3 linked regions of the Danio rerio genome follow. The protein of the gene in region 3 purifies or fractionates together with the protein of the main gene of each other region. This does not show direct contact. Links are inferred from orthologs where the notes say so. Each region holds a gene or a part of one and is shown on either strand. Other genes may lie near its edges.

The links.
Region 1: the proteins of aatf (region 3) and ngdn purify together in Homo sapiens (affinity purification with mass spectrometry; 3 studies listed by BioGRID and IntAct, with this or other methods). This does not show direct contact. The link is inferred for Danio rerio from reciprocal best matches to the Homo sapiens genes AATF and NGDN.
Region 2: the proteins of aatf (region 3) and nat10 purify together in Homo sapiens (affinity purification with mass spectrometry; 3 studies listed by BioGRID and IntAct, with this or other methods). This does not show direct contact. The link is inferred for Danio rerio from reciprocal best matches to the Homo sapiens genes AATF and NAT10.

The regions. Positions count from the first base shown.
Region 1 is NC_133199.1:16,007,385-16,011,585, reverse strand, and holds the start of ngdn (neuroguidin), read right to left. Parts: upstream 2,805-4,201; 5' UTR 2,745-2,804; coding exon 2,721-2,744; intron 2,509-2,720; coding exon 2,449-2,508; intron 1,484-2,448; coding exon 1,412-1,483; intron 1,324-1,411; coding exon 1,186-1,323; intron 1-1,185. UniProt on the Homo sapiens protein: Part of the small subunit (SSU) processome, first precursor of the small eukaryotic ribosomal subunit.
Region 2 is NC_133193.1:41,151,095-41,154,752, forward strand, and holds part of nat10 (RNA cytidine acetyltransferase), read right to left. Parts: intron 2,842-3,658; coding exon 2,708-2,841; intron 2,125-2,707; coding exon 2,076-2,124; intron 1,978-2,075; coding exon 1,881-1,977; intron 1,028-1,880; coding exon 917-1,027; intron 831-916; coding exon 658-830; intron 1-657. UniProt on the Homo sapiens protein: RNA cytidine acetyltransferase that catalyzes the formation of N(4)-acetylcytidine (ac4C) modification on mRNAs, 18S rRNA and tRNAs.
Region 3 is NC_133180.1:61,611,131-61,614,788, reverse strand, and holds part of aatf (protein AATF), read right to left. Parts: intron 3,131-3,658; coding exon 2,993-3,130; intron 1-2,992. UniProt on the Homo sapiens protein: Part of the small subunit (SSU) processome, first precursor of the small eukaryotic ribosomal subunit.

The sequences.
Region 1 (4,201 bases), on a different chromosome or scaffold from region 3:
TCTAAAGCTAATATACAAAAATGAATGCAACCAAAAATCAAAGAAAAAAAGTAAATAATTAGAAGGCACAGAACAATGCTATTAAGAGATGTTTGTTTCTGATAGTTTTATAACACCAATGTCACATTAAAATATTGATCTTATATAGGGTAAAACTAGAGCTTGTATTGTAGGACTTTATAAGATTGCGATATCTTACAATATCTCCAAGCAATCATTTCAAAGATTACAGCATACTTTTTAACTTGCTAGCAATTATCTTGAAATCATCAAACCTGTTAGTGGTAGTCCAGTCTCTTTTCCAGAGTAGCAGGTTTAAACATTAGTGTTTTCATTTATCACATGACCTGTACTGATGTCATTCATTTCATAAATATAAAAAAATACTTGAAATGACCCTAAAAGTTTTTTTTTTTTTTTTGAAAATTGTATTATTTTCTATTTTAGACAAAGCTGTTCTTTTAACATCCGATATGTGTATATATGCACACATCAGAGATGTTCGGAGCTTCATCAGATGGCATCAAATAAATAAATCTATAGTTAACTTAAAAAAATTAAAAAGTTTGAAATTTTTGCATTGGTGTTCACATATCAAACAGAGTAATGGTTTTCAATGCATGAACTGTCTTTTTACCACAGTTTCTTGTCATTTTAAGTGAACTTTATTTCTTATAATATCATATATTTTTATTTAATGCCATGTCAGCAACAATGTTTTTATGGCAATAAAAATCTATTCAGAAAAAAAAAATACAACTTAATACCAAACAAATAAACACAAAATAAATTAGATAACATTTTTCATATTAATATATGATAAAAATTCTACAATTTGCTTTGGTAAAACTTTTTTAAATATCCCTTTAACTTAGTTCAATTCATAAAAATACTTCCTACATTCATTAAAGTCCAATAGATTTCTTAAAAAGTATACTTATTAAATATTACAAATTTCATAATTTTGAATGAAAGTACTCTAATGCGGAAATGCCAGTCTAAAAAAAACAATATAGTAATATATATAAATATATATAAATATGTATATATATATATATATATATATATATATATATATATATATATATATATATATATATATATATATATTTTTTTTTTTTTTTTTTAAATTGCATAAACACAGTCTCTGACACTGCTCTGTGCTTTACAAGGTTTGTGCCTTACTGTCCGTATGGTGACCAGTCTGTGGATAGCACTGTTGTCCTTCAGACTTTCTCCTTCTGTCTTCAAACTGATCAAATGAGTGATGTCTTGCAGATAAAACAGTAACAGATGATATCTCAAGTCCAGAAAAGACAAACCCTAAAGCAAACAGAAAAAAATAATCAAGTCATGCACATAATTGCGGTAAAGTTTTTTTTTTTTTTTTTTTACCAGAGACAACATTTACCTTGGAAGTCTGGTAAGCTTTCTCTCTGACTTTCTTTATAAGCTCCCGAACATGACTGGTGACTGAAACAATCTGAAAATATCAAACAGCATCATCACATCTCCATGTTCATCTAGTGTGCTAGCTGTATTACCTAAAGATTAGTCTGTTACTGATAACAAATTAAAAGCACCATAAAAATGATGTTAAAAGACTGTAACAATACTAAAGTAATCAACAACCAAAGTGAACAATGGCTTTACTATATACGATGAATAACTCAAACAGTTTGAACTTACATCTAATGCAATTTGTAATTAAATACTGTTGAATTTACCATCAGTTTTTTCTTAAAGAAACAAATTGAGCTGTTTAAAATGAATAAAGTCTAGAAAGGCGTGATCAACAAACCCAGAATTTGACTAAATGATATAAAAAAGCATAAGAACCAATACATTACAAATAGTATACTTGATTGTGTAAATAATGTGTAATCCCATTGTCCATAAAATACAAACAGGTAAAGTTGGTTTTATATTCGCACATTTGTTCATTCTTGAACAGTGACAATTTGTGAATGTTCCTATATTTACTTTGAATATTCGGTCTGAAATTGCGTGTAGTATGACTTTAAAACAACATTAGCACTATTTAATTGACTGAACACTGTTGTACCTTGATAGTCATTGGCTGCTAATTTGGTTTATTGAGGTAAAGTTGGTACTTTAAAAGTTGGTATCGTTTAGTGACAACCTGTGACACGCTCCATATATTGTTTGGTACTTTGAATATTCAGACTAAAAACCCAGCGTAAATATGACTTAAACAACATTAGCACTACTGAACAGTGTTGTACTTTGATAGTCATTGGCTTCTATTAAATTTCACTCTTTAGGATTGGCAAATAATACTTTTCTGAAATGTTATTATTGAGATGAAAGTCTGAATGTGCGAAAATAAAACCATCTTTAACTCAATATAAAATATAACGTGTAATTGTGATGCAGACAGTTCTCAAAAATAACCATCAAAATATTACATTTTGTGAAATTACAGACCTGTTCGGTGAGACTGTTAAGTAGACGGACAGCAGTCGGAAGATCACGGTCTATAACATCCTACAAGCAATAAATAAATAAATAAATATACAAAAGTAAATAAATTTCTAAAAGGCTATCGTGTAATCCAATGTCCAGTTTTACTCATCTTAACTGGAAAATAAAAGTACATTAAATGACAGTATAATAGAAATGTAATAAAATACTAAACTTCAATCGTCTATGTTTAGGTTTGACTAAAGAATAAAGAAACTAATTAAAGATAAACTCACGTTTCCAACTGCGGTGGCCGCCATTTTGAATTAAGCAAAGTTGATACGGAAAGCGTGTGGGGACAAAACTCAAAGCAGGCAATTCGGGAAAATTCGTCTCGACCAACAGTTTTACCAAAGGCTGACAGGACGGTTTAAATGTGATTTGATTATTATATACATGTTGCTTTTCATAGACACTTGTAAAAGGACCTACAAACGGTTTTCTGGAGCATTTACAGCGTCAATTTGATGTAATTTGTTTCATTTATAATAGCATTTTTAATCAACGTAAGACGATTTACTGCTGGTTTTACGCTGGGCTTTAAACGGGTTTTAAGCAATTCGTGGCTGATGTGTTTTAAACAGGGTTTAGACTGATAGTCTAAAACTATAGACTAAAACTTTAGACTATAGTCTAGCATATTATACAACCCAGTTTCTCTAACAAATAAAAAGCTTTCATTTTACTATCTCCTACTCTACTACTTAACATACTATTAATATTTAGATTTACCTTATTTTCCTCAGTGTCTATCATCATTTTCCGTTCCCTTTTATATAATGGACATTTCTTTATGATATGTTCTATACTTTCCTCTTCATCACAATTAATACAAAGTCCATTTGGATGTTTTCCTATTCTAAACAGTCCACTATTCAGAGCAGTATGCTCAAACCTTAACCTTGACATGATGGTTTCCTCGCATCTATTTTTCCCTATTTCTGTTTTTACCCACCATCCTCTGGATCACATATTACCACCTTCCTTCTTCCTTCCATTTCTTTTGCCATCTTTCCCTCACATATTGTCGAATAATTGTCTTCATTTCATTTTCCCAGTTCTTAAAAACATGTCAATTTCTGATTTATTTATTTGTTTATTTATTTTTTGTGGCCTCCTTTGCCTATTCATCTGCTTCTTCATTCCCTAAAGTTCCAACATGTGCTGGAACCCAGATAAATAATTCTATTGATCTAGTACTCAGGAAGCATCATGGTTTAAAAGACGTCTATTAGCCGTCTAATTATTTTCTACTAATTGTAGTAAAATCATGATTCGTTTTCGCAATATTATAAAACTAAAATGTAACTAGTTCTTACTGTTTGCATCTACTTTTTTGTTGTTAATTTACAGTTCAAAACTATTCTAAATTATTGTGTGATTTTCGACTGTCCTTCAGTTTTGCCTTTTACCAGAAGATGGCGCAGGACTCCATATTACACCAGTCTCATCAGCATCTGTGAGACTGCCGGAGCAGAATCAACCACACTGATAGACAATGTGAGTTACTAAACACAATGCAAAATGTGATCATCAAATCATGATTCATTTCGACCTACTTAAAAATAACGTTTAATCAATGGCTTCAGTGAACAGTTCTTAAAATATTCCTTTATAACATAAGTATGAAGAACATTTTAGCCAAATCTAAAGAGGTTTTCCAACCATAAAGAACCTTTCATAGAATTATTTATTTGTCAAAATTGTCAGAAATTAC
Region 2 (3,658 bases), on a different chromosome or scaffold from region 3:
TAATAAAAAAAGATAGTTTAGTTTTTATTTATTATTTTTAATCAGCCAAGAGATTAGTTTCCATTATTTTTTTATTTAAAATTAAACAAACTTGAACTAAAATGAGAATTAAAATATGTAAACAATTACTTTAAAAAAATGGTTACAAAAAATGTAATCTATAAATCTAAAATAATAATCTAAAGTAAAAACTGTCTTGACAGTTTTAGTACAATAATAAATATGAAATCAATCAAACTACGACCTACTTTATGAATTTATCGAATAACTTAATGAAGCTTAAATAAAATTATAATAACAATTAGATTAAACTAGAGACATGGAAAAACAAATAAGAAAAATTATGCAAACCCACAAAAAAGACAAATTAAAACTTTTTTTAATTTGTTTAATAAATAAATGAATAAATAAATGATAATACTAAAAATATTAATAATAATAATTTTGAAAATAATTAAAACTTTATAAACTACATTAGTTATGCAATGATGCCAAGGTATGAATACCTTTACTGATATTTATTACTTATTAATAATATTTTTTTACAAAAGGAAGATTGAAAATGTTTAAACCCTAAAATTACATATGCTAATGAACATTCTTTGCTCTAAAAAGAATCCTACAACTAAACTTCAAAGAAACATACAACTGACTTACACTCTGGGCCACAGAAAGTGAGATGTCACCAAACTGTTTGAGGAAGTGCATGCGTGCAATAACAGGAATCATGTCCATGATGAGGTGATAGTCCACCATGTTTCTGGAATACATCTCCAAACGCTTCAGGTCATATGGAGTGAAGGTGGCTGCGAGTTCAGCACTTGTGAGAACTGAAAAACAAATACACATGAAGATCTATCTTTAACCAACAAACACACACACATACAGCATGTAGGAGGCAGATATGGGTCTGTACCTGCCGTGCTGTCATCTTTAGCGCTCTTGTTCTGTAGTATATTTAGAGCCAGAGTCGAACTAAATTTGCTGAACTGGAAGGACATCAGCGAGAGAAACCTCCGCCGGAAATCTGTCCAACACAAAACATGTCAATCTTACAAATCAGAAGTAAATAGATAATAGTGACACTTAAATGTATTAGAGAGTGCAACAGTCAAATTCTGAAAAGAAAAATCTCCATTCTGTTTATTGTGACAGAAAAATTGCAAATCTGCAGTGAGTTTTGAGGTTGATAACTGAGTTTTTTTTTTTTTTTTTTTTTTACTATGTTGTTTAGTAAGCTGCATTTCTGTTGAATGACTACATTTTCCATGATGCTGAACAGGAAAATAAAACAGAACAAATCCACCAATCAGAGAGCAAAGAAGTTAAATATATTTACATTTACATTTTAAAATTAAATTGAAATATATTATTTATATGGATATACTCAGCAACTTTAAATATTTTAACATTTGTCAGTCGTTTTTCATGGGATTGTAGTTAATTTCCTCATAATTGCAGTTATGCCTACAATCTTGTTGTTTTTTAGGGGGTGGGGGTGGGGGTTTACCATCAAACCAAAAGTTATGATTTCAGACCACAAAGTTTAAATCTGACTAGTGCGCTTTAACATATCCCGTAAAGTTAAAGAATGCATTTAGTACAGTGAAAGTAGCTGGAATTTGTGGCATTTTGAACACATTAAAACGGCATTTAGTAAGACGCGTTTTCAATGAAGCTCTGGAATTGGTCAAAAGTGAACAGGCTAAAACCTTTCTGAGCTGACCTACACCTGTATTCAGAATCATCCACTTTTAAACAGATATACATCTTAATACAATATGTAAATTGCCTCACAGAACACTCTGCAGTACTTGATACTTTAATATGAATGGTCCAGTTGACCAATCAAAACGATAAAAGAAATAATGAATAGTTACCCTTCCAAAAAGCAGAGAGCCACTGGTTCTGGTCTGTTGAATCTTCAGAATTGAGGTCTTTGAGCATAATGCAGGAGTGCTCGCCTGTCAGGTCATTCTAGAGGTCATGATATAACAAAAATATCACAAACTTAGAGCAAGATAAACAACCCTGACATGACTTCAATTAAAAAAAAAAAAAAGCTGCAAGCTCACCGGAGTCTGTCTCAAATAAACAGGAACAAATCCAGCCTTTTTCCAGAATCTAAAAGGGAAACCCAGAGACAATATGTTTGAAAAGAGTTTTGTAATAATGTTGCATTACTTGTTGGGGGTAACACATATATCATGTAGTTTTATTACGTTTATTACGTAAAGTAACATTACTATTAATTTTCAAGAAAATATAGGGAGTTTTTTTTTTTTAAATAAATAAATAAATGAATCGCCATTTACTGGCTGACAGCTCTTTTGTTCCCCAGATGGGTTGTGTATGATGTAAAAAGATTTATTCACATTTTACTTTTGGTGTAAGAGGGCTTTACAATTTAAAAAATACACTTTTTTATATTACTAAAAGCATTATTAACAAGCAGCCCAGTCCAGTTGAAAAAAATGTAAGCCACAGTCACACTAGAGTTTGTGTATCAATAGAAGTCTAATGATCGAAAAGTGCAGTGACCACGGCTTCACAAGTAACTTTAACAAGTCGTTAAAAAGTAACTAAGTACCATATTTAGATACTTTAAAAATTAATAAGAGATTATAATGTTACTTTTAAAAGTAACCTTCCCCAACACTGCTTGTAGCAATATCACTATAGTGTCTGTTTGCATGAAGGGACTGACTTCAGTAGTTGAGGAGTGAGGCCATAAGAAACTCCCAGGTAATCCAGCCGCTCAGCTCTCCTTTCATTCAGCTTCAACAGCAGTGGTGGCAGATCTTTCCTTGGAGAAACCACCTCCTCCAGCAGACTGACAGCCTGGACATCAACATCAACAAACATACTACTTCACAAAACATACTTAAACTGTTCTTATTTTGGATGTTGGCTCAATATGCCATCTCAGTATTTAAGAATGATCTAAAAAAATGAAAAATGAAGTGTACACATTGATGTGACAGAGGGCCAATTTAAATATGCAAAATTTATGGTAAAATGTAAGTTTAAAGAATTAGCACTGTAAATTATAACGTCAGTGAAAATAAAAAGAAATTACATTTTTTAAAGAGATTTTAATAATTAAATTCTGTAAGGAAATGTTAACTTGATTAAAGTTGAAAGTAAATGCATACACGGTTTAACTTCACAATTATTATATTGTGTATATTTCTCACAGATATACTTTAGAAAATCTGACACTTTTTTGGAATTTCCAAAAAAAAAAAAAAAAAAAAAAAAAAACACTAACTGTTTTCAGCACTGATTGTAATGATAAATGTTTCATCAAATCATCATATCAAAATGAAGAATCATGTGCCACTTAAGATTGGAGTAATTGTTGCTGAAAATACAGCTTAGCATATCAGATATACATGACATTTAAAGGGTCACGAAACAACAAAACACATTTTTTGAGCTGTTAACAGTCGTATATGTGTCCCATGCTGCTACAAACACTATTAGGACACATATATTTCACTAAAAACTGAAAATTGGTTGTTTTTGTGTTATTGTACTTCCGGTTAAAAATGAATTTTTGAAGCTGCGTCACGGCCATGAGATCTTAGCATGTATTCCAGCGTGTAGGCTGGATGTCTGTACCCGGGAGTGTTTTATTACGTCTCTGAGTGTGTTG
Region 3 (3,658 bases):
TAAACTAAAATAAACATGAGTGCTAAAAAGACTCAAACTTAATAAATAAAATGTTGAAAAAGTATAATTGCTGAACAATCATCACAAATGTAAAAGTTGATCAGCAACTGCAAGGTGTGAATAATAATGATACAGTAAACCAAGAACTCTGTAAACTAAAATTCTGATAATCAAACCTGAACTTTCAAGTAAAGGAAATAGACATCATTTAAATACATATAGCAACATTTTAAATTGTGAAGTTGAATGACTACATTACCCCCTATAATAAAATATCTTTCAAAATATCTTTTAGATCGCTTGTGGCTGGATTGCACAAGAAAAGAAACCAAAAAGCCACTCTGGTGACATCCTTGCATCCTTTTTTTTTTTTTAATTTACAATCTCTTTATTGCTGCTTGTCATGACACTAATTTTCACGTGTTGTTATTCTGGCCAGAGGTGGCGTAATCTAACCGCACTCCTTTCACATGTTGTGTCTAAAAGCATGTGAAAAGCATGAGAAAGTGAATTTAGTTTCATTCAATATGCACTTTGTGCTTGTATTCCTCTGGCGTATCTCATAACTAGGTGACCATTAGCCATTTTTTCAGCGGATGTCAACAAAACAAACAAACTTTTGCTCCAGTTCCTACACTAGTTTGTATTTATGAAGAGAATAAAAAAGCACTGCAGTGTTTGAGTGCTCTGCATTCGTCAGAGTCTGTCATTACTATCAAAATATGTATATTGCATACAAAGTGTGAAGCAGATTGGTTAGTTCTACTTACATAAAATCGTAGTGTGCATGTAGCATTCTGAAATGTTTTCAACTTTAGTTGCACCTGGAAATGCACAACCCCTATGCGCCTCAATTGGAAATAGCTCTAAGCTTAGTGGCATTGCCTCGAAGGTGCGCGCTCAGCAGCAACATTTGAATAAAGCTATGGCGCTGCATACCATAACTTTATAGCAAACTTTTTATTTTAAATCATTACTGGCAATGGTGTTCAGTCAATAAATCTCGATACCGTCAAAAAAATTTGTAAAACATTTTAGGCAATTAAAAGGACACTCCGAAAGCAAAAATGTTTGCTTTATTTTGCGATTCTTATTTTTCAAAAACACCAAGAAAGATTGCAAACAGCTTTTTTAAATTTAGAATCTTCTGCTTTGGTAAAGAGCTTTTCAAGGCCTTAACTTTGCCTTGAAAGGGCAAATTAAAGGGTCACGAAAGACCAAAACACATTTTTTGAGATGTTGCGTGCCCCACAATGCTAAAAACACTATAAGGAGACACATATTTCACAAAAAAAAGTGAAATTTGTTTTTTTTTGTGTTATTTCGAGCAAAGTCGTTCTTCCGGTTTGAAAAGCAATTTTGAAGCTGCACCACGGCCATGAGATCCCTGTGTAAATTACCAGATGTAGACCGGATGTCTGTACCGGCGGGTACAACGTGACGTCTTTGAGCTTTCAGCATTAACTCATGAGAAAGACTTGGTTCGAACCAATCAGCACGCTCAATTTTGTATGAGGGGCAACTTCATTAATATACATGATAGAGTTTTTTCCTGTTACAGTGTTCAGAAGGCAGAAAAACGCCACATTGTGTTGACAACTGTAATTTAAACAAGTGGAAGATGAATAATTGTTTGGAGACACAGGTCGTCAGTGTTGCGTTTATAAATGTGCTGCAACAAAGGTTTTGTTTTTAATTCCCGGCTATGAAACCGCAGCATGTGGACTTATATGTGTTGTTTACAGTGGTCTGCTAACATATGACAAAAATAAGTTTGCAAAAAACATTCTACCCGAGTGCTTCTCACATCTGTAAATGGTAAATTCCAGATTTGCCGCTTATCTCCTTTAAAAAAAAAAAAAAAGAGGTTCCAATTGGTGTTAATTGTCCTGCCACTACAGATTTGGTATGTGTGTAATCAGTGTTCTATGTTTATGTTTATTCAGAGGCAAAACTAGTTAGTATTGTCAACAGTTTTTAAAGACATACCTAAGTTTACAGTAATATCACTACAATATTATGGACTGAAAGATCCACTGTAAATGCTGCTCTCCGAATGTAAAAATGTAAACACCTTAAATCAAACTATTACCGTCGTGTAGGATTTTCGTTGCATTTTGTGACAGGATGGACTATACACACATTGGCGCGGTTCGCTTGTAGTGTGAGTGTAAAACGTGCCAAAGCCCGAAACTGCAAGCGAGACGTGACTTAAGAAACTGTTTCATATGGATTTATTAATCAATCTTACTGTTCAATGAACGCAAACTGCCGTCGTTTATTAAAGACGGAAACCCCTCACTGCAAGACAGCTGCGCACCTTCAGCAAACCTCCTCATTCCTGCAGCACGAGGGCTTTATGACTGTTTATGAGCGACAAAAGTGGCGGATCTGTTCGACGAAATATGACTGCATGTTACCGTATCCCTTAGGACTGTTTGGCAAAATATTTGACTGCGTGTCACTGCATATCAAACGACTGAAACAATATAACTACAGAAATCTCCACTGCACTGAGCAAGAGCACTTAGTAAACATCGCAGCATCGATGGCGTAAGCGTGCCCAGGCGATTGTAATGTGAGTCAGGGGAGACGGGAAGGGGGACAAGCGTGCTTTGGCTTGGTTCGAGGCAACTGTGCATGGTGTGAGTACGGCCTTAAAGACTCAAAGAAACACAGCATTTTTACCAAACTTTTACCAACATTTTTACCAAACAATTTCATAAATAGTACAACTCTCACCGTCACTTCAGATTAATTTAACTTATCCTTGTAGAATAAGAGCATGAATTTCTTTTGGAAAAGAAATTATAAAATATTCCAAATTCCAACATTTTTAAACAGTTTTGTAGCTAACTTACACAATATACAATAATACAATAAAAACCCCTAACATTTTTATTCATTTTATGTGAAACATATAGGAAATAGTTAGGATACTGAACATGTTTTTAATTATAAATTCTCAGTCAAATAATGTAAATTCACTTACTATTTTTCAAAGCATCAGCATATTCAGCCCCTCCCCTGCTCTTGAACTCTGAGAATGTTTGTGGTTGTGGAAGTTGATTGGCTGTCACAAGAGCTTTCTGCATTTTGATCCGCCTTTCAAGCATCAGGTCCCAAAGGGCTGTGAACATTATAAAAAATAATTAAAAAAAAACATCAATTTAAATTCCACTTCTCAGATTACCATATGCAGTTAAAGTCAGAATTATGAGCCCAGCTGTGCATTTTGTTTCTTTTTGAAATATTTCTCAAATTATGTTTAAAAGAACAAGGAACCTTTCACAGTATTATCCTATAATATTTTTTTCTTCCAGAGAAAGTCTTGTTTGTTTTATTTTGACTGGAATTAAAGCTGTGTTTAATTTTTTTAAAACCATTTTAATCACAAGTATTAGCCCCTTTCAGAAATATTTTTTGAATGTCTATAGAACAAACTATAGTTATATGATGATTTGCCTATTTACCCTAACTTGTCTAATTAACCTAGATAAGTCTTAACTTTAAACTTAGCTGAATACTAGTATCTGGAAAATATCTAAAAGACATTATGTACTGTTATAATGGCAAAGATAAAATACATCAGTTATTAAAAAAAATAGTTATTAAAACTGTTTTGTTTAGAAATGTGCTGAAAAATATATTTTTTCCC